Linked DNA regions of Mus musculus: all the other regions are reported to be linked to region 2. The links are microRNA targets in miRTarBase. Many come from high-throughput screens and were not tested one by one. Region 2 holds a microRNA gene; each other region holds the end of a gene's coding sequence.

Region 1 (5,069 bases), not on the chromosome of region 2:
AAGTACATTAGTTTGCAGCAAGGACTGACGCAGGGCCTCAACTTTCCAAAGTACACATAAGCCCAGAGGACAGCAAGCCCCATCATTCTATAGTGGTTAGGGACAAGGGATGGTCAAGCCCTGGACACTCACGTATTGACTCTGAGGCCTGGGGATATAGTCCATTTGGTAAAGTCACGCAAGCACCAGGATCCGAGTTAAGATTCCCAGCACCCCAATAAAATCCCAACATTGAGTGCCATCACCTGTAACCCTAAGACAGAAAGGGAGACGTGTATTTGTGTTTTATAGGCCCCTGGAGCTCATTCACCAGCCATGAGCTGAATCCATACGTTGTAGGTTCAGTGGTAGACCCTGCCTCAAAACACCGAGGTAGAGAGGCATCAAGGAAGACACAGTGCAATAACCTTGACCTCTGACCTCTACGCACATGCACACTCACAAGTATCTGCTTATATTCACCTATAAGAACACATACATAGACACACACACACCTGTCCCATCAGCTTCCTCATATATAGAACGGAAATAGTAGAAGCCAGGTCCTAGAGTCCTGGGAGGTTCAGTGACTCTGCAAGGTGACATTCACAAAGCAGTTCACAGGCACTTATTTAAATTGTGACTATGATTTCTGTGAGGACTGATTGTGATTCTCTGGCTCTCTCCTCTCCTACAGTGGAAGAGAACAGCTTCTTGCCATCAGGTGAGTGGAGGGAATGAGCGAGCCCCGGCCTGGTTCTTTCGCTGGCTCCTCTGTCCCTGTGGTCATGACTGGGGCCTGATGTGAACTCCCCACCTCCATCTCAGCAGCCCTCCCCGAGAGCCCGGTTGCCCTGGTGGTGGTGCTGACAGCGGTGCTGCTCCTCCTGGCCTTGATGACGGCAGCCCTCATCCTCTACCGGCGCCGACAGAGTGCGGAGCGTGGGTCCTTCGAGGGGGCCCGCTACAGTCGCAGCAGCCACTCTGGCCCCGCAGAGGCCACCGAGAAGAACATTCTGGTGTCTGACATGGAAATGAACGAACAGCAAGAATAGAGCCAAGGGCGTGGTCGGGGTGGAGCCAAAGCGGGGGAGGCAGGGGCCCCAAGGGCGTGGTCGGGGTGGAGCCAGAGCGGGTAAGGCAGGGGCCCCAGGTCAGCAGGCCCCCATCACCCATCAGCCCAGTTGTCTTTGGATGGCAACCCTTGGGAGTTGCTACTGGGTGCCGGGGGCATAGCTTGCCATGGGGTGGGAGTACCCAGCCTACCATAGAGGCTAGGCTGAGACTTGGCAGTGGGTCATGTTCCCCTTTCCCTTGGGCCTGGGATCGTGTCACCTGGACCTGGACCCCATGGCAACTGGAGGCAATATGAGAAGGGACATGAGCTTATTCATGTCTTTTCCTCCCCAGATCCCTGAGCCTAAACCTGCTGACCTGCAGCCTAGGATTCTTTCCTATCTGTAGGCCTGGAAAGCCTGCCCCGTCCCTTGGGGTGGCTCTCTGTCACCTCTCCTACTCGGCTACATCAGCTCTGTCTCCTCACCCTGCCCTCGTGCCTTTTTTTCCACCCAGTGCCTCCTTCTGAGCCATGGCCCTGGGACTTGGGTGATCTCTCTCTCTCTCTCTCTCTCTCTCTCTCTCATTCTCTCTCTCTTTCTCTCTGGGTGGGGGTCAGCTGAAGAGGCTGGCCAAGCATCTGTCACTCCTGTGCCTGCTGGAATGGACCTAGGGTATGGCAGGAGGGAGCCTAGGTGGCTCAGGTGTACAAACCAGGGCACCGGTGTGGTGTCTGCTGGAGTAGAGATGGAACTTCGGAGAGACACCTTATCCACTCACAGGGTGTCATCTCCTGCTGGTCAGGGGAGGGCTCTGTCCTTGAAAGAGTCCCCTGTGGGGACCAAAATAAGTTCCCTAATGTCTCCGGCTTCTGGCTCTGGCTTGGAGAGAGGGAAGATGGTTTGGAGGGGGAGGGGCGCTGGTGAGGCTGTAACCTGGGACAGCACCAGGTGCTACCATCTGGTGTGGCCTAGGAGACCAACTCATGGAACCACTCAGCACCTTTTTCCAGAGGAGAGTCCCAGCCAGGATGGAGAGTGCCAGTCCCCGTGTCCCAGTGCAGGACGATGTGAACAAAAACTCAAAGCGGACCCTCTATTGTAGTTCTTGATTCTCGAAATGTGCTATTATTGTTTGTCTTTTTTTTTTTTTTTTTAAAGAAGGAAAAAGAGAAAAAGAATAGCAAACAAATAAAAACCTTCCAGAGGCTTGAGAAGTCAGCGTTTGTGCCTCCTTCTCTGCAGAGTCTGACCCCCGCAGCCCTGTAGGGACAGATGGCAGCTCTGTCCAGTTGTTTCTGTAGCCTGCCATTTTGCCTCTGAGCTTTTGGCTCTCCTCAGGAGACAAGTCGTCCCTGCCTACAAGCGTGTGAACTTGGGCACCTGAGCTCATTGTCCCATCAGCTTGAATAGGGCGTAGAGGATCTCCTAGGGTTGGGCTGTCGGAAAGATGCTTAAGGATGTGGTGAGTGTCCTTACCAAGTGCCTCTGAGTGCATGCAGTAAGCACTCCATAAATGCTAACTGCTACTCTTATTTCTAAAGTTTTTTTTTATTACATTGTGTGTGTGTGTGTGTGTGTGTGTGTGTGTGTGTGTGTGTGTGTGCGTGTGTGTGTGTAGGGTGAGCAATATGAATACCTGGACCAGAGTGGGAGCAGAGGGTCCCTAATGTCTCAGAGGACCGACAGGGTGACTGCAGGAGTGTGGCTGAGTGGGTGCAGGCCAGGACGCAGTGGCATGGTGGATACTGTAAGGAAGGCTGCCAGTGGGAATGGCTGATCTGATCTTTAACAAGTTCATTGTAACCGCGGTAAGGGACACAGACAATGGATGGGAGATGGGGGAGGGGAAGCAGAGGAAGCCCTTGCAATCATTAAGACCTCAGAAGATGGTGGCTGGTTTGGCCTGGAACACTAGCGGTGGTTTAGAGGCGTTGTGCGTTCTCAGGCTTACCCTGTCCAGGACTTTTAAAATCTTAGTTCTACTTGTTTTGGATAGGCAGTGTGGTCATGTGGTTCAGAGCCTAAAGGAGTGAAAAGAATACATAAAGACACCCATTGAATGTTCTCGCTCCTTCCCTTGCCCATCCACCCTGGACGCTCCTGCCATGATGGTTTTCCGAGTCTCTTTCCAATGTTTGATTCAGGCTGGGGGAAGCCACTAGGAAACATGGGATCTGGATTGCCCAGGGGGACAGCAGATCAGCTGCTTTCTGCCGGGATCAGATGTGCAGGATGAATGGGTGGGACCGCCCAAGACAGAAGAACTCTAGAGAGTCCGTGAGCTGCATTCCTGAGTGTGTGTGTGTGTGTGTGTGTGTGTGTGTGTGTGTGTGGGCTCCTCCAGCTGTCCCTACTCTGCAGCTCTCACAAGACCCATGGGAGATAGGTAGGCCAGGCATTCCGGAAGGGACGGAAGGGACCGTCAATCCAAAGTAAGGTCCTTAATGATTAACCCACTTTACCTTCAAGTGATTTGCTCTCCAAACAGAGGCCAGAGTAGCCCCTTTGTGAGTCGAGTGCTTTGCTACTAGCTGTGGCTCAAGGGTTGCTCTTCAGGCTGCTGGGAGCGGCTCTGAGGGCAGGGATGCCAGTGACCATTGCCCTGAGAGAGAAGGAAGCAGCGTGGTAAAAAGCAGTGTGAGCTCTATTGGGTCATTTGAGTAGTTGAAGGAATGAGGCTCCAAATGTCCAGTGCCACCCATCTATTTGAGAGAGAGACAGAGAGAGAGAGAGAGAGAGAGAGAGAGAGAGAGAGAGAGAGAGCATGTGCATGCCAGCAGCTGACTGGGTAAGCAAGCCTACTGACCCCAGCAGCCCCAGAAATCTACCTATCTGTACCCCCAAGAGTTACGAGCATAGGCAGCTGCTGCTCCTGGGTTTTATGTGGGTGCTGAGGATTCGAACCCAGGCCCTCACCCTTCCAGGGCAAGCATGAATTGACTCCCCAAACCTTGACAAGTTAATTTTTCCTTTTCTTTCTCTGGTGACTGGAGTCTTGCCAGAGGCCACATTCAATCCAAGTTTGTCCTACAGCCTCTTAGGCCTGGGGGCTCCCCAGAGAGTATGTTCTAAGCCTTCCTGCAGAAGAGTTAGGGAATGTTCCCGTAGTTCTCTGAGTGGTCAGGAAGAAGGCTCTGGACCTGGCCACTTGCCCTCTGGCTCCCAGCCAGTTCTAGTTTTAGAACATGTGACAAGGACTTCTATCTTCTGGTGGGGCTCAGTTCAGTTGACCACGAAGCATCTCTTCTGTGTGCCAGGTTCTCTGCGGAGCCTGCTGAGTGGCAGATGGCCTGAGACCTGTCCCAGGCCTGAGCGAAGGGCACTGTCTACCAGGCACGGAGCCCAGCTTTCCCTTGCAGGTCTGAACTGGCCCAGCTTCGAGCACCTGAATATTCAGTGACAGCTCAATGAATCCATGAATGAATGGGAAGACAGGGCAGCTCTCCAGAGAACAGCATTCCCCTATCTCCTATCAAAGCAGAGATGGCCTCCTCCCAGGTACCCTGGCAGAGCAGGCCTGGCCCAGTGGGCAGCTCTCTGAGGCCACAGGGGCAAGGAGCCAGCCAGCCTCACCACATGGCTATCCTGGAACAGAGCCGCCCAAACCTGGTCAAGCTGCCTGGACCAGTGGGGCAGGAGTCTCTGGCAGACCTGAGGTAAAGAACTAGCATCGTGAGGGAAGGCAGAAAGGAGACACTCAGGGAAGTCAGAAGAGGACAAATGAGGGATTGAAGAGGGTCCAGCATGAGAAGAAAGTGCCCAGATCTTCCCGCAGGCCTGACTTTCCTTAGGAGGGTGTTGCCAAGAGGCCTCAGGGAACTGCTGACTTCAGTCTTTGGCTCCCATCAGAATCAGCTCCATTGCATCAAAGGGGAGGGGCTGGCTTTAACCCTTCCTTGTCTGAAAAGCAAGTAGTTACAGACACTAGAAAGAGGTCTGAGCAACTGCCAGGCACCAAGGTTCAAGGCCATGTATTCAGAGAAGCCAAATACTGAATTTATCAGTTGGCTGGTGGCTTTTCTGGGGATCCCA
Region 2 (4,864 bases):
TGTGTACATGTATATATTTGTGTAGATAGGTACAGCCATATACTCAAATCCACACACAATAGAAACAGATACAGATAGGGATACATAGGGGGCATCACATGAATCCCAGGCATATCTCTAAGTCATCATGAAGTAAAGCATGAATTTGAACTCCTGATCCACAGTCTTTCACACCTGGTGAGTAAAACCATTCACTGTCCCACTACTGCATAATCTTGAAAACTTTAAGTCACATATCATTCAAATGTATAAATGAATGCAATTTTTCCTGTGTGTATGTGCTTGCATATACACGTGTGTTTTTGTTATGTATATTCATGTCAACACATGCAATGCACATACAAGTAAGCACACATGCACATACATGGGTGGCATCACATGAATACCAAGATAATCTCCAAATGAAGTTAAGCATGAAGTTGCAATCCTTATCCTCCTGACTTTGTCAATCTTTTACACCTGGTGAGTGAGTCCATTCAATGTCCCCTATTGCATAATCTCTAAAACTCTACATCACTTATCATTCAAAGGGATTGGCGAATGCCATTCCTGTGTCTGTGTATGTGTGCTTGCGTTTATACATGTGTGTGTATGTTATGTATATTCAAATATAGACATGAACATGCACACACAACTATACACACATGCACATACATGGAGGAATCACAGGCTGATCTCTCATGAGGATAAGTATGAATTTGAACTCCTGATACTCTTAACTCTAGCAAGCATTTTCACTCTAAGTCACTTATCACTCAAATGGATTGATGAGTGCCATTCCCATGTGTCTGTGTGCTCATATGTGTCTTATGTGTGCGTGTATGTATATGTATATCATATTCACACATGTACATGTACACACACATCAACACATACACACATTCATAGGGGCAATCACATGAATGCCAGGATGACCTCTAACTCATCATGCCTTTACCATGAACTTGCACTCCTGATCTTCCCGACTCTACCAAGGGTTTTCCCGTGGTTTGTGAGACCTCACCCTGGCCCAGTCATACATAACCTCCAAAGCAGTAGGTCACATATCATTCAAATGGATCCGTGAGGGCCATTCTCGCATGTCTGTGTGCATGTGTGTATAGGTGTGTGTATGTATATGCATAAAATATACACACATATACATGCACGCACTTATGCACAAAGGCACATGCATAGGGGCCATCACATTATTCCAGGATGATCTCTAACTGCTCATGAAGTTAAGCATGAATTTGCACTCCTGAGACTCCTAACTCTGGCAAGCAGTTTTCATCTGGTAAGTGAGATGTTTTGCTATCCCATGAATATACACTCAATGAAACTCTAAGCATGCATAAATCAAATGGATGACTACCATGTGTGTTTGTGTGCACATGTATGTGTCCATATGTGTGTGTATATGTGTATGTATGTATGTATATATATATATATATATACACATATATATATATATATATATATGCATGTTCATATACCCACATTTACATGCACACGTACCTATACACATATACACATACACGGGGACAATCACAGAAATTCCAGGCTGTTCTCTAACTCATCATGAAGTTAAACATGAATTTGAACTCCATATTCTCCTCCCTCTGGCAACAATATTCACCTCCTAACTGAGACATAGTTCTGGCCATTCCTGTGAGTATGTGTGCATACAGCTATGTGCATATTCATGTAGAGAAGTGAATATGCACACAGCTATACACACATGCACATTCTTGGAGGGCATCACATGAATCGCATGCTGATCTCTACTCATCATGAATTAAATATGATTTTGAACTCCTCATCCTCCTGACTCTGGCAAGAGTACTCACCTCCTAACTGAGCCATAGCTCTGGCCCAGTACTGCATAAGCTCTAAAGCTCTAAGTCACATACCATTCAAAAGGATATATGAGTGGCATTCCTGTGCGTGCATGCGTGTATATGCATATTCATATAGAGAAGTGAATATGCACACAACTATACACACATGCACATTCTTGATGGACATCACATGAGTCGCATGCTGAACTCTAACTCATCATGAAGTTAAACATGAATTTGTACTCCAGGACCACCTGACTCTGGCAAGGGATTTCACCTGCTGAGTGAGACCTCTCCCTATTCAGTACTGCAGAATCTTAAAACTCTTAGTCACACGTCATTCAAATGGATCGATGAGTTGCATTCATGTTTGTGTGTCTGTGTACATGTCTATGCGTGTGTAGATATGTATATTCATATACACAATCCACACACAGGTACACGCATGTACACATACATGGGGGCATCACATGAATCCCAGGCAGATTTCTAAGTCATCATGAAATAAAGCATGAATTTGACCTCCTGACCTCCTGATTCTAACAAGCATTTTTAATATGATGGGTGATAACTCTCCCTGACCTAGTCACACATAATCTCCAAAGCTCTCAGTCACATAGATTGATGAGTGAGTGCCATTCCTGTGTGTCTATGTGCTCATATGTGTCTTATGTGTGCATGTATGTATATCATATTCACACATGTACATGTACACACACATCAACACATACACACATACATAGGGGCAATCACATGAATGCCAGGATGACCTCTAACTCATCATGCCTTTACCATGACCTTGAACTCCTGATTATCTTGACTCTGGCAAGGGTCTTTACTTGGTGAGTGAATCCTCTCCCTGGCCCAGTCATACAGAATCTCTAAGACTCTAAGACACATATCATTCAAATAGATCGATGAGTGGCAGTTTTGGGTTTGTGTGCATGCTTGTATGGGTATGTGCGTATGTATATGTATACTCATATACACACATGCACATGCACACATACATATACACACAGGCACATACACTGGGGGCATCACATGAATCAGAAGCTGATCCCGGACTCAACATGAAGTTGAGAATGAATTTCGACTCCTGATCCTCCTGACTCTGGCAAGATTTCCACCTTGTGAGTGAGAGCACTCACTGGCCCAGTACTACATAATCTCTAAAACTCTAAGTCACATATCATTCAAATGAATAAATGAGTGTCGTGTGTGTGTGTGTGTGTGTGTGTTGCGTGCGTGTGTATGTGTGTGTGTATGTATACATATATTCATATACACACATGCACATGCACACACACGTAAACACACATGCACATACATGAGGGGCATAACATGAATGTCTGGATGATCACTAACTGAAATTGAGCATGAATATGAACTCCTGATCCTCCTGACTCTGTCAACAACTTTCACCTGGTGAGTGAGACCGTTCATTGACACACTACTGCATAATCTATAAGACTCTAAGTCACATATCATTCAAATGGATCAATGAGTGCCATTCCTGTGTTTATGTTTATGTTTTTGTGTTTCCGTGCATGCGTGTGTATATGGGTGTGTATGTATATGTATATTCATATAGACACATATACATGCACACACAAGTATACACACATGCACATATATAGGGGGCATCACATGAATCCAGGATGATCTCTTACTCCTCATGAAGTTAAGCATGATTTTCAACTCCTATACCTCCTGACTCTAACAAGGGTTTTCACCAGGTGTGTGAGAATTGACACTGGCCCTGTCATACATAATCTCCAAAGGTCTAAGTCACATATCATTAAAATGCATCGATGAGTACCATTCCTACATGTATGTTTGCATGTGTGTGTATATGTGTGTATGTATATGTATATTCACATAAACACATGTACATGCATACACTTCTGCACACATGCACATAAACGGGGGACATCACATGAATCCCAGACTGATTGCTACCTCATCATGAATTTAATATGAATTTGAACTCCTCATCCTCCTGACTCTGGCAAGAGTACTTAACCTCCTAACTGAGACATAGCTCTTGATCAGTACTGCATAAGCTCTAAAGTTCTAAGTCACATACCATTCAAAAGGATATATGAGTGCCATTCCTGTGTGTGCTTGCGTGTATGTGCATATTCATATAGAGAAGTGAATATGCACACAGCTATACACACATGCACATTCTTGTTGGGCATCACATGAATCGCATGATGAACTCTAACTCATCATGAAGTTAAACATGAATTTGAACTCCAGATCCTCCAGACTCTGGCAAGCGTTTCACCTCCTAACTGAGACATAGCTCTGGATCACTACCGCATAAGCGCTAAAGCTCTATGGCACATATCATTTCAAAGGATATATGAGTGGCATTACTGTGTGTGCATGTGTGTATATGCATATTCATATAGAGAAGTGAATATGCACACAACTCTAACACATGCACATTCTTGGTGTGCATCACATCAATTGCATACTGATCTCTAAATCGTTGTGAAATTAAGCATGAATTTGAACTCCTGATCCTCCTGACTCTGGCAAGTGTTTCACCTAGTGAGTGAGACTTCTCCTTGACCCATTTATACATAGCTCTAAAACATTAAGTTACATATCATTCAAATGGATAGATGAGTATCAATTTTGAGTTTGTGTGTGTGTGTGTGTATTTGTGTGTGTCTCTGTGTGTGTGCATGTTGTGTTGGTTAGTTTATATGTGTATATTTATATGCATATATTAACATGCACACATACATATATGCACACATGCACATACATAAGAAACATCCCAGTCTGATTTCTATCTCTTCATGAAGTAAATTTTGTATTTGAACTCTCTCTTCACCTGACTCTGGCAAGTGTTTTTACCTTATGAGTGAGACTATTACTGACCCAGTACTACATAATATTTAAAGCTCTAAATTATATATCATACAAATGGATCAATGAGTGCCATTCATGTGTGTGTGTGTCCATGCATGCATGTATGTTTGTGTGTATGTATATGTATATTCATATACACATATACACATGAACAC
Region 3 (5,069 bases), not on the chromosome of region 2:
TTGAGTGACTCAGGTGAGGAGACCTGTGACTGAGTGAGTGGAGTGGTACAGTGTGGATCATTACATGTGCTTAAAGCAGTGACATGCTACGTGCTTTGTCTCTTGCAGACCATCAGAAAGACGGCATGCTGGGAGCGTTCCAGCTATCTTCCAAACCCACCGTTCTCCCCTCCTCGTCTTCAGCCTACTTCCCTGGGCAGTTACCAAGTAGTTAATCCAACACCTTTTACTGCTCACCGACAGTTTAGGAATTCAAGTGATTTAACAGACTATTGATAACAAAATCAATTTTTTTCTGGTTCCTGTTAGGTCATTTGGATCCTTTATAATACTGCTGCCATTTACAAATTTAGGAAATTGATAAGGATGCTGAGTAAATGGTATTTTTTTTTCTGTGAACAAAACAGAATGTTTCAAAAAGTCACTGGATTGTATCAGATTCTTACCAGTTGGTCTGCTTAGGGACACTTTATCAAGATACACCTGCAGGGAATATAAACTGAAGACTTGTGATTCATTCGATCATTTTTATTGTAAAAAAAAAAAAATCTTAATCTGCCACCTGAGAGCTGGGAGAGCTTCCACCTGTGACCATTGAGCCTTACATTGACTTTACATTCAGTTCTCATACAACTTTCAAAGTTTTTTTTTTTTTTTTTTTTTTGAGACAGGGTCTATTATTATGTAGTTCAAGCTGTCCTGGAACTGGCTATGTATGTAGACCAGGCTGGCCTCAAACCCAGATCCACCTGCCTCTGTGTCCCAAGACCTAGGACTAAAGCTGTGTACCCACCAAGCCTGAGTTACACAATATATTTGGTTTATAATTTCTCCTCCCAGATGGTCTCCAGTTTCCTACCCACCCAATTTTATGTTCTTTCTCCCTTAAAAAAGAAAATAAAAATAACCAATCAGTAAGATAAAAATATCAAACCAGCCGGGCAGTGGTGGCGCACGCCTTTAATCCCAGCACTCGGGAGGCAGAGGCAGGCGGATTTCTGAGTTGGAGGCCAGCCTGGTCTACAGAGTGAGTTCCAGGACAGCCAGGGCTGTACAGAGAGACCCTGTCTCGAACCCCCTTCCCCCCCCCCAAAAAAAAAATCAAACCCAAAACAGTGTATTCGACCTTGTGCTAGTCAAGTCCTGGGTATGGGCATTTGGAGTTTGGTTGATGTACCTAGTGACACTCTTAAGGATTTTGAGTGAAATTAAGTATTCATAGTGAGTAAATCATTTTCTCTGAAATAATTTTTATATAAAAATCATTGGGACAGTGTATTTACATGACTGAAGTGCTTTAGTCATCTGGGCATTCCATAAAGATCATCAGTGTAATAACACCATAAAAGTTCATGGGACTTTTTATAATATTAAAATTTGTCATCAGTGTTAATAAAGCAGGAGGAGAGTTAACTATTGGAAATTACAACTTCCTCACTATTAAAAACTTCCAAGAACTATTCCTTTGAAATTAAGTAGTTTTAAAAAACAAAATGAAACAAAAAACCAAAAACAACCCTCTATAATCTTAGAGGTCTAATTTTGTTTTCTTGTTGACAACCACCCAAAGGAAATTAAAATTCCAAGACCCCAAAAATCTTATCTGTAAAATGTTAACAATCATGTGATATTTTAAGTTTCAAGGGGCTGAAGAGATGGCTTAGTGATGATCGGCACTAGCTACTCTTTTCAGAGGATGTGGGTTCTAATCCCAGCACCCACATGACAGCTCACAATTTTGTCACCCAGAGTGCATCAGGCATGCATGTGGTTTCTAGGCAAAACATTTATACACATTTTTTTTCAAGTACTTTACACTGTTGCAGACATTTTGAGACAGTGACGTAGAATCTTTAGCCTCACTTTCAGGATGATGGCTATTGCTAGCTGTCTTCAACGAGGGCTGTTATCACAGTTCAGTGATGGGAAGAATATTGCTATAACTACTTGAAAGCACTTATTCTGGAAAGAAGTCTCTCTATGCAGCACAGGACTGTTGTAAATACTATAGAATAAACCTAAGAGCTATGGCAGCCTTTGGAAAGGGATACAAGACATATATAGCTTTTTAGAAGAGATACCCTCCCCTTACTATTTATAAACCTGTTTCCACGATAGGACAGCTCATTTCCACGCAGGGTGTTGGTGACCTGTCTCTGTGCTAAGTGTCCACACACACAGATAGCGCCAACTCTCTGCTCTACCTCTTCTGCTTTTGTCTGAAATTGTTTTGTGTTGTATAACTGTACATGTGTTAACCATCAGAATGTTGCTTTTTGCTATTTCTGAAAGCTGTGACCTTTGTCAATAAAGCACTGAGGCTTGAGCGTTTTATATGCAAGAAGCATGTTTAGGAAATAAAAGACTAACTGTGCTTAGGAAATCAAGCATTTCCGGTTGACCTACACACTTCGTTATTTTTATCTTCAGGCTTTTTGTTTTGTTTTTGGTGAGGTGAGGTGAGGGCAGCAAATGGATTGCAGAAGGTAAGTTAAGGTAAGAGGATTTGTTACTGTAACAAAGCCTAAACCGGCCTTACAGGGAGGGACTCACAGATCAAGACCTTTTTAAAAAGAAAAAAATCATTAAAATATTTAATTTTATTAACAGAATATTTACATTTGAGACCTTATTTAATCATAGTGAATGCTCCAAGTTTAAAAAGCATTAGGCAGTAACCACACACAAGATGAAAACAGTGTAAACTATACAATACTTTATGTACATTTTTACAAAGTAACACTTTTTTAAATAATATAACTGGACACAAAAATATACACTTTAGAGAAATTCACATCAGTAATTGTATAAAGCTCTCTTCTAGGGTCCTGAAAATTTAGGACAAACATTAGCTCTGTAAATAAAGTGTTACTGTGACAGTCCTGAAAGGCCACTATATATATTTATCTACATATAGATATCACATTGACATTTTCAAGGCTACCAGCTTTACTATATAATTTTTAGATTATGTATTCAAGTGTTGAGGTCCTTATGATTATGCAAATATCAAAAGAATAGTGGTATAAGAAGCAGAACAGATTTAAACAGATTGAGCCAGATGGCTAGGCTCTGACCACCCCAATTTGAATTCTAAGTGGCTGATCTTTTCATTCTTCAGAACAGCCGTGAATAATGCTTTAAATAAAATTATGGCAAACAAGCTTGAAACATGATTCTGGTTTTCTACAATTTTCACAAGTTCTTTTAAATGCAAACAATTCTTTACCATTTCTTTTCTAGTGCATCTGCATTAAGGCTTTGAATTATTTGACCCAAGATTTTACAATGACTCAGGTTTTACAAGGTTAAAGCAAACAGGTCCATAACCATCCTGCCTAGTGTCGCTGAGTCAGCACGAGCAGGTAAAGGCTCAACACCTAAGGAAATGGCAGAGACGGAGTTACAGATAGAGCTTTAATTAAAGATGTGTAATAAAACAGTTTAGTGGCAAGAGAGTGGTGCTAATATAAACAAAAGGTTTCTTTTTGAAAGAAAGTGTAACATCTTTGGAAAACTGTCCGGTTCTTTCTTTAGTTCCCACGGAGTTCATGCAAGTATTTCTTAAGACAGTCTTAAAGTACACTGCAGATGGAAATGGAATGTACATCCAGAGCTACAGGTGAAAACTAAGACCTGGGTGCTGCGAGAGAGAGAAGTCTTCCTGATTTCCGTCACACATTCGTGTCCTGGAGTAAAGGTTCTTTGGCCTCTCCTGGCGCTTGTGTACTGTGAGGATGGCTGTGACTGCCACAGTGCTTCCTCCAACTGCTGGACCTTAAACTTAAATTAGTGTGTTCCGGAATAAACAAGGCAACGAGCAGAGCCAGCAGTACCGAACAGGCTCCAAAGAGGAAAGGGGGACCAGGGATGATGGAATTCTGAGGAAGAAACAATAGTTAATGTTTTTTGCACAAATACTCCCCCCAGCCCCCGTCCCCAGCCTCCAATGTCTCAGCAACTGTCTGCTCAGATTTTCTTTTTTTTTTTTTAAAGTCAATGCCTTTATTGAAGCAATAGCTATAAAATCACTTTTCAGGAGAAAAGGTATTTTTATTCTTATTGTAAAATCCTGCCAACAAAAAAATGGCAAAGTGGGCTGGAAAGATAGTTCAGTGGTTAAGAGCGCTGACTGCTCTTCCAGAGGTCCTGAGTTCAATTACAGGCAACCACATGGTGGCTAACAACCATCTGTAATGGGATCTGATGCCCTCTTCTGGTGTGTCTGAGGACAACAATGTGTACTCAAACCTTTAAAAACAAAAATCAAAAACTGGCAAAGTAACTTGGATAACTGTGGGTGGCTTTTAGCACAGAGCCTAAACTACACATGTTAATAATACACCTGTAGAATCGTGTTTCAAAAATAAATACAATGCCACTAACCACAAAAATAAAACATTTTAGCCCAAATCATATTCATTGTGGGCAAAACCCTACAGAAACCCTGTTTCTGTTGTATATGGCCCACAAAATTAAATAGGCTTGCCTGGGGTTCAATTCTTGCTTAATCGAGAAAACTGCAGAGATGTTAGTATTGGCTCAGTGGTCCATGTGGTTTGGGGTTGGTAATTTCAGTTGGGAAATAAAGCAAGCAAGTCAACAAATGTCCACCGTGCGTACATTCCATGTGGCCATAGATGGCAGCTGCCCAGCACTCCAGAAGTCAGAAGGAAAGAAAGTAGCAGGGTGGAATGGAGATGTGGCTGCCATGCCATTAGGCACAAATTGACAAAATGTGGTTTCAGGTGATTTTTTCATTTTAGTTTTTGCAAGATGATACTCGGGAAGAATAGTCTCTTAGGCTTTAGTTATTTTTTTTTTTAAGATTTATTCATTATTATATGTAAGTACTGTAGCTATCTTCAGATACCCCAAAAAAGAGGGTATCAGATCTCATTACAGATGGTTGTAAGCCACTGTGGTTGCTGGGAATTGAACTCAGGACCTTCGGAAGAGCAGTCAGTGCTCTTAACCACTGAGCCACCTCTCCAGCCCCAGGCTTTAGTTTTTAAGATTACTTAAGGCCTATTCATGCTAGAAAGTTTTACACAAAAGCTTTTGTTTTC
Region 4 (5,069 bases), not on the chromosome of region 2:
GCTGTCTTCAGACACTCCAGAAGAGAGCATCAGATTTCGTTATGGATGGTTGTGAGCTACCATGTGGTTGCTGGGATTTGAACTCAGGACCTTTGGAAAAGCAATCGGTGCTCTTAACCACTGAGCCATCTCACCAGCCCTGGCTGCATTCATTTATATTCCCACCAGAAGTGTACAGGGGCTCTGCTAGGGAGTTATGGAGCACTACTTTAATCCCAGCACTAGGAAGGCAGAGGCAGCCAGATTCTGTGAGTTCAAGGCCAGCCTGGTCTACAGAGAGCAAGTTCCGGCAGCCAGGGCTACACAAAGAAACCCACTCCATCTCAAAAAAGAAAAGAATTGTACAGGGGCTCTTCAGCACTTGTTATTTTGTTTCTTATTGTTATTGTTGTTTTTTGGATTTTTTTTTTAATGATAGACAATGATTGGAGGAAGCTGAACTCTAAATGTTAATTTACTTTGCGTTTTATTCATGTCTAAGGATGCTGAACATTTTGAAATGCATTTACTGGCCATTTGTTTTTCTTCCTTTGAGAATTATCCAATTTATTTCTTCATTAAATGAGTTGGCTTTTTTGTAAGTCCTATTAGGTTATGTTTGGTGTTTTGGAGAGGAGTGGGTGTCACAGCATGCATATGGAGGTCAGAGGTCAGTTGTGGGAGTTGGGTTGCTTCTTTCTTCATGTAGGATAGGTGGCCAGCACCTTACCCACTGAGCCACCTTGCTGGCTTGTCGTTTTTACTTCTTTATAGATTCTGGAGATTGACCTAACAGATGTGAGGCAGGCAGGGCTTTTCCTACTCTGTAGGTTGTTTCTTCACTCTGTTCATTGCTTCCTTTGCCTTGCTTAAGCATTTTAATTTCAGATCTTGCATTGTCAGTTCTTGCAATTATTTCTGAGTTAATTGGGGTCATTTTCAGAGAGTCCTTCCTATATTCTGATAATTTCCTTTAGTAGTTTCTGGTCTTATACATATATGTTTAATCCACTTTTTAAAAAAGATTTATTTATTTATTGAATGTATGTGAGTACATTGCAGCTGTCTTCAGACACAGAAGAAAAGGGCATCTGTAATGGTAGAGATGGTTGTGAGCCACCATGTGTAGTTGGGAATTGACTTCAGGTCCTCAGAGCAGTCAGAGCTCTTAACTGTTGAGCCATCTCTCCAGTTCTGATTCATTTTTAAAAGTTGGTTTGAGTATAGGGTGAGATATGGATCAAGTTTTATTCTTCTGCAGATCAATATCCACTTTCCCGGCACATTTATTGAGCAAACTCTTTCCTCTCATATATATTTTTGAACCTTTGTTATGTTGGCTGGAACCATATGGGTATATTTCTGGGTCCTCTATAGAAATCCACTGATTTTCATGTCTGGTTTTGTGCCGTATAGTTTTGTTACTGTGGTCTATGGTATATTTTTAACTCAGAGATTGCAGTACTTCCAGAACCAAGATTTCTACTAAGACTGTTTTGGCTTTTTGTTGTTTCTGTTGTTCTTTCTTGTGGTCTTATACTGATTTTAGGATTGCTCTTTCAGACTCTCTAAAGAATGTCACTGGAATTTTTTTTTATAAGGATTGCACTGACAAGCCTTTTTATAATATTAGTTCTAGGGGCTAGTGAGATGGCTCAGTGGTTAAGAGCACTGGCTGTTCTTCTGAAGGTTCAAATTCCAACAACCACATGGTGGCTCACAACCATCCATGAGATCTGACTTGAAGACAGCTACAGTGTACTTACATATAATGATAAATAAATCTTTAAAAAAATATTGATTCTGCTACCCTATCAGCATAGGGGATTTTCCTGTCTTGAGTCTTCAAATTCTTTCCTCTTGTGTTGTAAAATTTTCATCGCAATGTTCTATCCTTAAGTTTATTCCTAGAAACTTTATGTTTTGTTTGTTTGTTTATATTTATGTGTATGACTGCTTTGTCTGTACCACATGCATGCCTGGTGCCTGAGGAAGTGATGTGGGTGCTAGGAAATCAAACCCTGGGTACTTCGCAAGAACAAGAGCTCCCCTCTGGGAGTTGGTGCTTTTCTTACAGCTTTCACATTGTTTCTTTATTTTATAGTCTTGGTTTTAGTGGTATTCAGACATACATGAAAACAAAACCATCATGTACATAAAAATAAACAACTGAAAAATTAAAAGACAGACATGCAGAGGCAGGTAGAGCTCTTGAGTTTGAGGCCAGCCCGGTCTACAGAGTGAGTTCTAGGACAGCTAGGGCTACACAGAGAAACCCTATGTCAAAAAAATAAATAAATAAATAAATAAATAAAAAGAAAGGAAAAAAGAACAAACCCAAAATAAACAAAGAAGAAAGGTGAGAAGAGTAGAGGAGGGGAGGGGAGGGGAGAGGAGGGGAAGGGAGGGGAGGAGAGAAGGGAAAAGGGAGGGGAGAGGAGAGGGGAGGGGAGAAGAGAAGAGAAGAGACGAGACGAGACGAGACGAGAAGAGACAAGAAGAGAAGAGAAGAGAAGAGAAGAGAAGAGAAGAGAAGAGAAGAGAAGAGAAGAGAAGAGAAGAGATTTATTCTAGGCTCCTGTCTGCAAGCATTACCAAGTATCATTAACAGTGTCAGGGATTGGTTCTTGCCCATGGGATGGGTCTCAACTTGGGCCAGTTATTGGTTGGCCATTCTCTCAGTCTCTGTTCCATCTTTGTGCCTGCACTTTGTTTCATATCACCCACTGCCAGGAGTCTCAGCTAGAGTCATCCTCATAGACTCCTGGATCCCAGGTCTCTCGTATGTCCTAGAGGTGCCCCCACCCTCAGGCTGTCAATTTCCATTTATTCTCCTTGTCCTCTCTCCTCATCTCTCCCCATACCTGGTCCTCTAAGAGGCTCCACCCAGCATCTAAATGAAATGGATGCAGAGACCCTCAGCCAAACATTGGACAGAGCTTGGGGAGTCTTATGGAAGAGTGTGGGGGGGGGGGAGAATTGAGGGACATAGAGGGGATAGGAACTCCATAAAAAGACCAACAGAGTCAACCAACCTAAGTCCTGGGGGCTCCCAGAGACTGAATCACCAACCAAAGGACATACATGGTGGTCCTTACCCCCTACATACACACACACACACACACACACACACACACACACACACACACCCCACTGCTCTACCACAAGTGTGGTTGGAATTACCTTTTTTTTCCACATAAGAATTCCAGAGACAGTTATCATTTTTTAATAAGTAAATAACCGTTATAACTATAAATAAATAACCATAAATAACCATTTTAAAACTATACTAATTTAGCATATTGTGAAGGATGGGCGCTGTGAGCCACTGCATGTGTGGAGTCTGAGGATAACCTGCAGGGATCAGCTTGCCCTGCTATGTACCATGTGGGGGATCCAGGGCTGAACTCAGGTTGTCAGGCTTGGCAGCAAAGTGCTTCTGCTTACCTCGCCATCCTGCCAGCCCTAGACTGGGAAGTTTTTATTACAAGGAAATCTGGGGACACAATTTTCAGTACTCTTAAAATAATTTCTAAAATGATTCTCAGAATAAATACTAAATGACTTGGGTTGTCCCTAAATGTTTTCCTTGCTAAAAATAATACCAATTAGGATTAAGACTGACATTTTTTTCTACCTGGATATGAATATATTCCTTTATTAACAATACCTAAGAATCGTGTAGACTCAAGTGGTTCAAAACTTACATGTATATATTTATAGAGAGAATATACAGAAAAAGACTGAATATGTTAATGATTATCTGAATAGTGGATTTCTAAGTAACTTTGGTTTCTTTTATATAATCTGTATTTTGTATATTTTTCTATAAGAACATGTTAGCTTTAGAATAAAAAGGACTTTATCCATTTATTCTACTACATATATACTAGTAAGTTCTGTCCAAGGAGATGTGAAGAAACCTGACTTACCGAGCAGCAGTGCAAAGGACAGTGCTGTGTCCACCTTTCCTCTCGTGCTTCTTTATTTAGCTTTTTATTATCAGTAGTTTTAGCTGTAAAATGGTGGGGCGATGCACGGGTTCCAGTCTGTCAGAAGAATCCACTGTGGGAGCTGTGCTCAGCACGCAGACTTTTGGGTTTTTTATGTTTTTTTGTTTTTTACTCAGTTGTGTGTTTTTTATGCATACAGATAATCTCAGGAATGGTTTCCAGCCTCTTGTAAAACTTGTTACTTTCACAAGCAAAATATCTGCCTGTCACACAAGCATCTGCAATTGCCTATCTTAATGTATAGCACACCTTAAAGAGCACATTTTCGCATGCACTTATTCAGTACATTATTTTAAGTAATGAAACTTGTTTGTATCAGGGACTTTAGAGTAAAGAAAAACATTAAGAATAAGTACAAAAAGATTCTGAATTTACAATAGAAACACCCTTGCCCAGATTTGTTGTCGTTGTTAATGAGATTTATCCTTTGATTTCTCTTTCTCCTTTTTTTTCTGTTTTTCTTCTGCTTGTTTTTCTAAATAGTCTTTAAGAAGATGGTCCAGCTGTGGTTCACACTGGCTTGCATGCTGCAATCCGTCTTCCCTTCCTGAAAAGATACAGAACACGGGAATCGTTCCTTACCAAAAGGGGCTTCCACATTACTGTCCCCTCTGGCATCTCCCAAGGGGCCATGGGCCCAGTGATTCCTTACAAATCGCCCCTGAGTCAGTTTTAATTGCATTTTTTTTTTACCTTCACAGTGTTGGATCACACGCCCCCATAGTCGATTTTTCCTCAAACAGGACAAACTTCCTACAATCAATAAGTGTCTCCTTCCTCTGGTCAAAGCAACGTTCATTCGTTTCTCTGAGTCAATGAACCCTACTTGTCTTGTCCTCACGCAGGACAGAATAGTGATTTCCTTCTCGGCACCCTGAAAGGCATCCACTGTGGACACCTGCACAGCTTTAACATCAGGATGGCCGACGTCCACAGCACTGAGTAAATTGCAAATCTGCAGACAAACAAACAGGGTCAGAAAATGCAGAAATCAGGAAAAACTCCATCTCTAAACTGGGCAGTTCAACCATTCAGGAGTAAATTCAGGAATATTTTTCTTTCTTTCTTATGACTCAC
Region 5 (5,069 bases), not on the chromosome of region 2:
CCACAGGTAAGCAAAGAGCTTTACTCACTTCCAGCAAGTGTGAAGGCCCAGGCGTGACACCACAGCGACTTCCTGTGTGCTCAGGCCGACCTCATGGCAGTGAGGCTCTGCAGTTGGCACTCAGGTGGTTGAGTCCCTGTGCAGCCAGCCTGTGAGGGATGCACTCAGTCCTCCTCACGTATGAGCAGGAGTTCTGGTTAGGACTGCCTCGTTTACAGCCCGAGTGAGGGAATGCTGAGAGTGTGTTCAAACCTGTTAAGAGGGGCTGGAGAGATGGCTCAGCGGGTAAGAGCACTGACTGTTCTTCCAAAGGTCCTGAGATCAAATCCCAGCAACCACATGGTGGCTCACAACCATCTGTAATGAGATCTGATGCCCTCTTCTGGTGTGTCTGAAGACAGCTACAGTGTACTTACATATAACAATAAATAAAATCTTTTTTTTTAAAAAAAAAAAAAAAAACCTGTTAAGAGAGCTCTGGCACACACAGCCCAAAGTGTTTGCTGCTCCCCACTAGCCAGTATTGGCTATTCTTAGTGACATGGGTATATATACCCTTGTGGGTTTTAAATGTTAATAAAGGATTCCTCTAATCCCACCTAGGACTTAGGAGTGTGTCAGAGCGGAGGGAGTGAGGTATGAGGCTTCTTTGGAAAGTGGGCGGGTTCCCACATGCTTGCCCTCCCTGGGGGAGCCAGGAGTCCAGCTTCCAAGGCCGCCTGGCAGCATGAGAAACACCGCTTCCCTGCTCTCTCTTGCAGCAGCCAACCTACGTCCAGGCGCTCTTTGACTTTGACCCCCAGGAGGATGGCGAGCTGGGCTTTCGCAGAGGAGACTTCATTCATGTCATGGATAACTCAGATCCCAATTGGTGGAAAGGGGCCTGCCACGGGCAGACCGGCATGTTTCCCCGCAATTATGTCACCCCAGTGAACCGGAACGTCTAAGAAGCAAAAGAGATTATTTAAAGAAAGTGAAAAGTTAAGACCGTTCACAAGAATTACACCCACACGCTGCCTGTCACAGCCTGTGAGGGAACGCAGAACACCTGGCTGGGTCCCACGGGTGACCCTCTCATTGGGTTGCAACTTTGGGGGGTGGGGAGGGGTGTTTGATTTCATAATGCCAAAACTTAACCTATTGAATGAATTACAGTTTTTATTACGGAATCTCGCCGCTACCCCTGTTCCCCTCCTGTGTCCTTTTTCTCGTTCTTTCTTTCCTGTCCAGTGCATGATGTTTAAGGCCACATATAGTCCAGCTGATGCCAATAATAAAAGACAAGAAACCAAGTGGGCTGGTATTTTCTCTATGCAAAATGTCTGTGGAGATGGATGGACTGAAAGAGCCGGATTCCTCACACACAGGGGCAGCCAGTGCTTCTGGGGCCCTGGTTGGGGTTCACCCGAGATGCCCAGGGGTACCGCCTCCAGCCTCAGGCCTGGAGCATTCCATCAAAGTTGGAATTAGGGGAAGGAGGCCCACTGTCCTCCCCGGTCTCCTGAGAGTCAGACTGCAGGCCCTCCCCTCTCCCACTGCTTCCCTTCAGGTGTTTTGACGTTTTTTTGTTTGTTTGTTTGTTTTTTTTAAATAGTGCCTTTGTCTTATTTCAAGGGTGTTCATAAATGGTATTTGTACCATTTTTTTTTTTAATAAGTTAAAGACAGTCCAGAGCTTTTCAGTTGATTCGTCTCCTATCCTGTGTAAATATTTTCCTCTCAGGGCAGGGGAAAGAGGACAGAGAAAGGAGCTGGTAGAAGCAGAGAGTGTATTTCCCATCTTGAATGGGCCGGAGGTCTCGAAGCCTCAGCTTTTACTTTGTGAGCTGCAACACTCGCTTCAGCTCAGACTCAGTGGACATCAGAGTCTCTGTCTCCGTGTCTCAGTTATGGTCTGCTCTCTCTATGCCTGGAGCTACTGATCCAAACACAAGACGGTCAGAGGAGCCCTGGCATCCTTCACTCTTATAGGCCTACATGCAGATGGGCTTGAAGAGAATTGGCCTTTCATTTTTCACGCTCGTATTTCCCCACCTGTCCAAGGGTGCAGATAGCAGGATTGTGGGGTCGGCCGCATCTCTCTTGGCAGTGGGTTGTGCTGCCCCTCCCCCCACCCCACCCCTCCATCCCACAAAGCCTTTCGAGGTAGGAGAGACCAAGACCAGTGCACAGCTTTTTAACTCTTGTCTTCTGTGAGTTTTCCGTCCTCTGTAGTCACGTGCCTGCACACCGTTCTCTCCACCCTGCCTCCTTCCCACAGCAGAAGCAGGGCTCCACCCAGGCCTTCCCTTGGAGTCGGTGCATCCATGGGCTGCTAGACTCTTGCGGGTAGAGTCTCCCCTGGACTTAGCATTGTGAGATGGACTCAGCTCAGGGCGCCCCTAAGGCTCGGAGGCGGCCTTCTGGGTCCCCACCTCTCCTGGTTCCGCTGCTGCTCTCCCTGCTGATGATAAAGTAATCTCTGGAGTCACACCTGGGCCATGTGATTGTTTTATTTTGGAATTGGTGTATATCATGAAGCCTTGCTGAACTAAGTTTTGTGTGTATATATTTAAAGATCAGTGTTTAAATAAAAAAAAAAAAAAAACCAACTATGTACTTACTCTGACTTCTGCGGACAGCAATTTGGTAGGTAGTGATTAACTGTGAATAAACGTACAATGAGTTCTTAACTGTGTGTCTTCATTTCTCCCTGATGGTGTTTTCAGTTTATTTTTTTATTTATTTATTTTTTTCAAGGCAGGGTTTCTCTGTGTAGCCCTGGCTGTCCCAGAACTCACTCTGTAGACCAGGGTAACCTTGAACTCAGAAATCCGCCCATCTCAGCCTCCCAAGTGCTGGGATCACTGCCCGTCCTGATTTTATTTTATAGATGGGGTCTCACTATGTTGCCCTGGCTGGCCTCAAATTCGCAGAGATTCTCCTGCCTCTGCTCCCAAATGTTGAAAGTAAAGGCTTAGAGTATGTTAACTCTGGCCGGCATCTCCAGACCCTGTGAACCTAGGACGAGTGATGTAGCTCATTATGTGGAAAATGGTTTAGACAAGAACTCAGAAGAACCCAGAGCTGGGCTGGAAAGCTCCTCTTCCCTTCCGAGCTGAGGGTGTGGAAAGGCTAATCTCTGAGGAAGTCGGTGAGGCAGCTACATGACACAGCCGTGACAGTGGTCTTTTGGGTGAGACAAAGTTGGTAACCACACGGTGCTGGCTATGACGCGGTAAGGGTTGAGGCTTGAACAAAAGAGGATTCTGCCGAGCAAACCACCTGAACTGGTGGCTAGGAGGCTCCCGGGTGCCACCTGCTCCTCCCCGTTGCGGTGATGTGCATGTGAGAGGGAGCTGTGCTTGTCTGGGCCAGCTGAGCAGAGAGCTTGGGCTGACTTTGAACTCCCTTTGTGTCAGTTTAACCCCTTCCTGATTGGGGGGGGGGGTGTCATTTTTTCCCCAGTGCTGAGAACCCAGTGTTTTACACTTGCTAACAAGCACACTCTCCTTGAGCCCCCTCTTTGTTCTTCAGGTGATCACAGTGTGTGTCCTGCCCCTCCCCTGGGTCAGATTCCTGGTGAGTTATCCAGGCTGTGTATGTGTGCCCAGGGCCAGCTCAAATGTGTCTCATGATAAAGGCTAGGCTATGCAAAACCTTGAGGATACCACTAGCCAACCTGGCCCATCATAGTGGCCCTGCTGCTCCCTCCTGGTCCCAAGACTTCATCGAGCACCAGGAGCCAGGTGCAGAGTGAGATCGGAAATGCTAGGATGGACAGCTACATTGGTTTAGGTCATCTGACAGCACCAGCCAGCTGTCTCCTCTTGACACCATTCCTGGGCCTGCTTATGGGCTAGATGGCCTTCAGACCCAATGTTTTTTTTTTTTTTTGTTTTTTGTTTTTAAAGGTTGATTTGTTTATGTATATGAGTACACTGTCACTGTCTTCAGACACACCAGAAGAGGGCATCAGATGGCTGTGAGCCACCATGTGGTTGCTGGGAATTGAACTCAGAACCTCTGGAAGAGCAGTCAGTGCTCTTAACCGCTGAGCCATCTCTCCAGCCCTGGATCTGTTTTTTTGTTTATTTGGTTTTGTTTTCAAAATTTTGGAGATTCTTAAACATTTTTTATTTTATGTGTATGAGTGTTTAAATATATGTCTGTGTACTATGTGAGTATGGTGCCCTACAGGATCAGACCTAAAACTGGAGTTACAGAAGGTTGTAAGCTGCCATGCAGGTCCTGGGAACTGCCTCCACCTCCTAAGAGCCAAGACCATGTTCACGGCCTATACCATGAAGCCCAGTGTGGAGTTCTGGGGTCTCTTCAGCCTCTCTGTGGTAGTTACCATCACAAACCTAAGCAAAACAGGGAATGGCTGTTCACACCTGTAACCCAGCACTCCAGAGGCTGAGGCAGGAGGATCAGGTTGCATCCCAGGTCCCTCTGGGCTACAGAACTGAGAGCTCCATTGTCTGTGACAAAGTTTAAGGGAGGAGGACATTGTTGATGGTTGACATGACAGTCCCATGTGCTGATGACTCTGAGTACTGGGGTTTGGCCAGCCCACTTAAAATTAATTAAACCCAGTCGAGTTGGCCGAGCAGCAGGTAGAAGGGACTTGCTACCAAACCCTCAGAGCCATCTGATGGAAGGTGGGAATGTTGGCCTCTGACTTTTATACACTATGACACTGTGTGTGTGTGCGCGTGTGCGTGTGACTGCCAGGCATGACACACCTTGGAGCACAGTACTCTGGAGAAAAGGCAGATGGGATCTCTGAGTTCAAGTCCAGCCTGCTCCCTGTTATCCATCTCCAGGCCAGGCAGAGCTACACAGTGAGACCTTGTCTATTAAGTACAGGCTGGAGGAGCTAAGAGAGATGGTACTTGCTGATAATCCCAGTACTGAATAAGATGGAGACTTCTAGGCCAACCTGAGCTACATGGTAAGACCAGGGTTCCTAGACCAGCCCTGGCTACATGAAGAGACAAGATCTAGAGAGCCAATTTACAAGGCATACTGTACTCTGTTCGAATAGAGACCACTGAGAGCAGATCCAGCAACAGTCTTTTCAGCACA
Region 6 (5,069 bases), not on the chromosome of region 2:
ACTTGATGAAGCCTTCTTCCTTCCTCGGTGACCAAGTTGCACGTGTTGAGAGTGTGTCCACCATAGCTCCTTCCCCTTTGGGTGTTTACAGTCTGAAGACTGCTCCTCTACAAAGACTGCTCTTACCAGGATCCCCTAAACCTGTTCTTGTGGTTCAGCTGTGTGCCATAAACCCTGCCTCCTTGTTTATCTGTATGCAGTAACCCACTTCTCTGTTCAGCTCTATATAATAAACACGCTGGGCTCTGTGTAGTAAACACGTTGAGCTGAAGTGCTGAGGTTTTCCCATCAGAGAGCCCACTCTGTCCAGTCCCCAGCTTTTCTGTCTGTGTGTCCATCCTCTGTCTTTTCTTCATTCCCTTGCTGTCCCCGTCACTTCCATTCTTGCAGCTCTGCGTGGGCCGGAATATGTTACCATACTGGAGATACCTGGCTGGGTTCAGACCCTGGCCTTTCCCATTTTCTAGTTGTGTGATTTTAGGCAAGTTATTTAACCTCTGTCCCTCACTTTTTTCATCTGTAAAGAAGAAATAAGAGTGTACAGTTAAGCCGGGCAGTGCTGGCGCACGCCTTTAATCCCAGCACTCAGGAGGCAGAGGCAGGCGGATTTCTGAGTTCGAGGCCAGCCAGGGATACACAGAGAAACCCTGTCTCGAAAAAACAAAAACAAACAACAAACAAACAAACGCAACAAAAAAAGAGTGTACAGTTAATAGAAGTATTTTGAGAGTGAAACAAGTCATGCATTTAGAATGCCATAGAATTATTCCTTGTCATAAGTATATTTGATTTCCCTTAACTGTCAGAGCAGTAGGGAAGTAAGCACTGTTAGCATTTTGTAGAAAGAGAGAAAGGCTCTTAGGAGTGCAGTGCTGCATCCTAGACCATTGAACTAGGGAGCAGAGCGCAGCTGTCACCTCCAGTTCCCTCTCACCTTTGACCCCTATGCCACCCAGCTCTGAGCACCAACTTCTGTGTCCCAGGCCTTTAATGTGATCAACGGCGGCTCTCATGCTGGAAACAAGCTGGCCATGCAGGAGTTCATGATTCTGCCAGTGGGAGCCAGCTCTTTCAAGGAAGCCATGCGCATCGGCGCTGAGGTCTACCACCACCTCAAGGGGGTCATCAAGGCCAAGTATGGGAAGGACGCCACCAACGTGGGGGATGAGGGTGGCTTTGCACCCAACATCCTGGAGAACAATGAGGGTCAGTGCTGAACATCCTGGGGCAGAGTGCCTGAGTGCCCCTGAGGTGGGGGGAAAGAGAGGCTGCAGATACAGCCATACTGGAGTCTCAGGTCATCTCTTGCTCCTCTCCCAGCCCTGGAGCTGCTAAAGACAGCCATCCAGGCAGCCGGTTACCCGGACAAGGTGGTGATCGGCATGGATGTAGCTGCGTCTGAATTCTACCGCAACGGCAAGTATGATCTGGACTTCAAGTCACCCGATGACCCTGCCAGGCACATCAGTGGGGAGAAGCTTGGGGAGCTGTACAAGAACTTCATCCAGAACTATCCCGGTGAGACGGCCGGGTGCTCCCCCCGCCCTTGTCTTCTGCGGTTACCTAGCATGGCTCTCAGCATTTGGCTTTGTCACAATTCCTGTCCTTCCCATCTTTAGCTCATCCGTAGCCTCCATTTAACCTCTGCTACCTGTCACCCCTCTATCAGGCCCCTGTCTCTAACCCCATCTGTGCTCCCAACTCCCTACCAGTGGTCTCCATTGAGGACCCCTTTGACCAGGATGACTGGGCCACATGGACCTCATTCCTCTCTGGGGTGGACATCCAGATTGTGGGAGATGACCTCACGGTAACCAACCCCAAGAGGATTGCTCAGGCTGTGGAGAAGAAGGCCTGCAATTGCCTGCTCCTGAAGGTCAACCAGATCGGCTCCGTGACGGAGTCCATCCAGGCGTGAGTGCCTCCTGACTCAGGCCCCCCCCCCCCCCCCCCCCCGGCTCCAGCCACTGCTGCTGCTCTTCCATGGGTGCCTTTCCCAGGGCCCCTGACCTACTCAAGCCTCAGAACCCCTAGGCTATGACTGACCCCCAACTTGGCTCTAAGACTTTTGCCATTGTGGCTCTGCCATGTCCCTTAACCTCCCTTCTGTTTTGTGTTCTTCTGCTTGCCATCTTCTGACCACTCTAATCCAAGATCAGAAATCTCTCCTCCTTCCCAAAGAACTTAGTCACTGCCCAAACAAAGGGAAAGTTCTATCTTGCCTGCCCCTGACTTTCTTATTGAGGTGGTCACATAAGGTCTCATCAAATGCCTTTCCCACACAGCTGTAAACTTGCACAATCTAATGGCTGGGGAGTGATGGTGAGCCACCGCTCTGGGGAGACCGAAGACACTTTCATCGCTGACCTTGTGGTGGGACTCTGCACAGGACAGGTACTCGGGGTTTCTCTCTACTGAGTATCTAACCAAGTTTCCTTGGTCACCTTGGTATCACTTGGGCCATCTAAGTTGGATACCACTACAGCCTGCTCTTTTGGGGCCCAAACCAACCCCTCCAAACCCTTTTCCCACCTCAGATCAAGACTGGTGCTCCCTGCCGTTCAGAGCGTCTGGCAAAATACAACCAGCTTATGAGGTACAATTTGTGCAGAGGCCTAGACCGTGGGGAGAGGAAGGCGCTCCTGGGTTAGAAAGTAGGAGCTCTGATTTTCTTTTTGTATTGTAGGATTGAGGAGGCTCTTGGGGACAAAGCTGTCTTTGCTGGAAGAAAGTTCCGTAATCCAAAGGCCAAATGAGGAGCTGGAGACTCCAGGCTTTCACAGGAAAGACACAGGCCTTCAAGCCCTTCTCCCAGAAATAAACACTGCCAAACCAGACCATGCTGTGTTCCTTAGGAGGGAATGAATGACAAGCTCGCCAGGAAGGACAGGGCTGGGGTGGGGTGGGGGTGGGAGACAGGGAAGAAGGCAGAGAATATCATGTGACCTGCTGTGACAAGGAAGTAAGGGATTTGAAAGCTCAGTGGATGTAGAATAGAGACTTTCAAAGTTTGGAATGAAGCTAGAGAAAGCAAAACTGTATGTGAAAAGGAGCTGGAGAGGAGGTGGAAGTGGCTCCCAAGTAGACAGCGGTGGATGGAGAGGGGCCGAGGAAGGGTCCTGGTGCTCCCAGCATTGGAGGGATCTGGATCAGGCTGCAGCCAGACTGAGTGCTTCTCAAGGATTAAAGGATAATGAGATCATTACCACTTCAGTGGAGCTTGTGAGGATCTGAAGTGTTCAAAATACTTGACAGTATTAACCCACAGAAGCTTTCAAACAGTCCTGTCAGCCATTTACCAATCTATCCCCCTTTTACACACCAGGAAGCCAAGGCACGAGTTGAGTATCTTACTCAACACAGCAGAGTTAGCAACTCGAAAAGCTAGGACACAAAATGCCTGGCTTCAGCCTTAACTGGGTGTGGTGGCTTATATCCGTAATCTTAGGCCTTGGGAGATGGAGTAAGGGCCCGTCTCAAGATTCCAAGCTTAGGGGCTTCAGTGGTTAGGGGCATTTGTTGCTCTTACCGGCACCAGGCTTCAGTTCCCAGCACCAATGGCAGCTCACAACCATTGGTAACTACAGTTCTAGGGGCTCCAATGCCCTCTCCAGAGCACCACGGGCACCAGGCACGCACACGGTGCAGATCCTTGCATGCAGGTAAAACATTCATACACATAATCTAAAAAAAGAAACATCGTGCTGGCTTCCCGGTGAGTGCCCAGTAGGCATGAGGCCCTGAGTTCAATCTAGTATCACAAGAATAAAATATGTGAAAGTGTCACAGTAGCAGTGCTAATAATTGGCCATCTTTAGCTTAAACAAACAGCAACGTTATACTGTTGAATCCACATTTATGGAGGTAATACCCACAATTTCTTCTCTCTCTCTCTCTCTCTCTCTCCCTCTCCCTCTCCCTCTCCCTCTCCCTCTCCCCCTCTCTAGAAAAGGTTTCTCTGTGTAGCCCTGGCTGTCCTAGAACTTTCTCTGTAGATCAGGCTGGCCTCGAACTCACAGAGATCTACCTGGCTTTGCCTCCCAAGTGTTAGGATTAAAGGTGTGCGCCATCAATGGACTAGTATCCACATTTCCAGGTACAAGTCAGAACACTGGGTCAAACAGTGTTTATTCAATGTAAAGTAACCCAGGCCCACGGGGAAGAAAGTTCCAAGGGTAATAGAGAATAATACAGATTAAATACACATTTTTACACACACACACACACACACACACACACACACACACACACACACACACACCCCATACATCCAAATTCCAGCAGTGATAAACACTTGCTTCTCCTCCAGCCTGAGTGACAGCTGGCAGGGCCTCATAGGTTAGAAATGGGGCTCCAGAATGGGTCCTGATAGCAGCAGCCTTGTCCCTCCATGCCCCTGCCTTGCTGGAGGTCAAAGCAAGGTGGGCGGGATGCCTAGGAGGTAGTTGGCAACTCTTCACCACTCTGCCGCAGGCGTTTCTTGGCTCTGATCTCATTCATGGCCTCCTCTATGGACCGTGTGTCCCGCTTGTTGGCCACAGGAACTAGCAGCAGAGGGGAGAGTGGGCAAGACCTCAGTCTCTGCTCCCCTCCCCCAAACTACGTTCTCCCCCATCCCTCCCCCAGCTCCTGCCATGGCTCACCACAGCCATAGGTCTTGTTGGCCTGTAGCATGTGGGCTGCATCTTTGGCTGCTCCTTTGCCAATAAGATGGCTATACTTGTCCTTGTAGTCGCTGGCAGGACTCACAACCGCAGGTCCCTGCTGCGCTGCCTCTTCCTCCTGCTTCTGAGCCAGCTCCTAAGGGCACAGAGGTAGGGTACCGGTGCTCAAGGCCCTGACCCAGATGGCCTCTTCCAGGTGATGGTTACGGGCTCCAGGGCCTGCCAGGAACAGCTCACCTTTAGCTTCCGCTTCTCCTCAGCCTTCTGGGGGTCCCACTCCTCTCCATGACGGTAGGAGTCTAGCTCTTCATCTGAGGGTGCAAACTCCTGGAGATGAAGAGAAAGGTAGAGTCAAGATCCAAATATATGAGGGATGCCACTCCTCTCAGGTGCAGGGATAGGCTG

The links. Region 2 holds the annotated microRNA mmu-miR-466f-3p (CAUACACACACACAUACACAC, at 3,069-3,089, opposite strand). A microRNA usually pairs through its seed, bases 2 to 8, with sites in the 3' UTR of a target mRNA and lowers its output. Matches are read on the target gene's strand: a 7mer-m8 pairs with bases 2 to 8, a 7mer-A1 pairs with bases 2 to 7 and ends in A, and an 8mer does both.
Region 1: miRTarBase lists Mrc2 as a target of mmu-miR-466f-3p. The part of its 3' UTR that is shown has no 7-base or 8-base seed match.
Region 3: the mRNA of Mfsd14a is a reported target of mmu-miR-466f-3p. Seed matches in the 3' UTR shown: 7mer-A1 at 2,774-2,780.
Region 4: the mRNA of Zgrf1 is a reported target of mmu-miR-466f-3p. The part of its 3' UTR that is shown has no 7-base or 8-base seed match.
Region 5: the mRNA of Grb2 is a reported target of mmu-miR-466f-3p. Seed matches in the 3' UTR shown: 7mer-A1 at 2,505-2,511 and 8mer at 2,540-2,547.
Region 6: the mRNA of Spag7 is a reported target of mmu-miR-466f-3p. Seed matches in the 3' UTR shown: 7mer-m8 at 4,200-4,206.

The regions. Positions count from the first base shown.
Region 1 is chr11:105,348,892-105,353,960 of GRCm38, forward strand. It overlaps Mrc2 (mannose receptor, C type 2), which reads left to right. Exons shown (of 30, transcript NM_008626.3): 29 at 677-703; 30 at 808-2,254. The coding sequence ends at 1,034. Among named protein-coding and RNA genes, the nearest start is that of Mrc2, 59 kb to the left of the region's middle.
Region 2 is chr2:10,470,232-10,475,095 of GRCm38, reverse strand. Mir466f-3 (microRNA 466f-3) reads right to left here and starts at 3,143; the gene lies at 3,050-3,143. All of the region lies in intron 10 of Sfmbt2 (Scm-like with four mbt domains 2), which reads right to left. Mir669d-2 (microRNA 669d-2) reads right to left here and starts at 3,452; the gene lies at 3,367-3,452. It overlaps Mir297a-2 (microRNA 297a-2), which reads right to left and starts at 2,842; the gene lies at 2,753-2,842. It also overlaps Mir466o, Mir467c, Mir466b-1 and Mir669a-3.
Region 3 is chr3:116,628,600-116,633,668 of GRCm38, forward strand. It overlaps Mfsd14a (major facilitator superfamily domain containing 14A), which reads right to left. Exons shown (of 12, transcript NM_008246.2): 12 at 2,565-3,881. The coding sequence ends at 3,675. It overlaps Sass6 (SAS-6 centriolar assembly protein), which reads left to right. Exons shown (of 17, transcript NM_028349.3): 16 at 1-13; 17 at 109-2,387. The coding sequence ends at 215. Among named protein-coding and RNA genes, the nearest start is that of Trmt13, 17 kb to the left of the region's middle.
Region 4 is chr3:127,616,137-127,621,205 of GRCm38, reverse strand. Zgrf1 (zinc finger, GRF-type containing 1) reads right to left here. Exons shown (of 26, transcript NM_197997.2): 25 at 4,686-4,947; 26 at 3,183-4,539. The coding sequence ends at 4,403. Among named protein-coding and RNA genes, the nearest start is that of Gm40147, 10 kb to the left of the region's middle.
Region 5 is chr11:115,641,647-115,646,715 of GRCm38, reverse strand. It overlaps Grb2 (growth factor receptor bound protein 2), which reads left to right. Exons shown (of 6, transcript NM_008163.4): 5 at 1-6; 6 at 762-2,671. The coding sequence ends at 947. Among named protein-coding and RNA genes, the nearest start is that of Slc25a19, 16 kb to the right of the region's middle.
Region 6 is chr11:70,659,677-70,664,745 of GRCm38, forward strand. Spag7 (sperm associated antigen 7) reads right to left here. Exons shown (of 7, transcript NM_172561.3): 5 at 4,902-4,991; 6 at 4,644-4,800; 7 at 4,093-4,544. The coding sequence ends at 4,435. It overlaps Eno3 (enolase 3, beta muscle), which reads left to right. Exons shown (of 12, transcript NM_001136062.2): 7 at 984-1,206; 8 at 1,321-1,518; 9 at 1,713-1,914; 10 at 2,286-2,394; 11 at 2,538-2,596; 12 at 2,687-2,837. The coding sequence ends at 2,756. Among named protein-coding and RNA genes, the nearest start is that of Eno3, 5.0 kb to the left of the region's middle.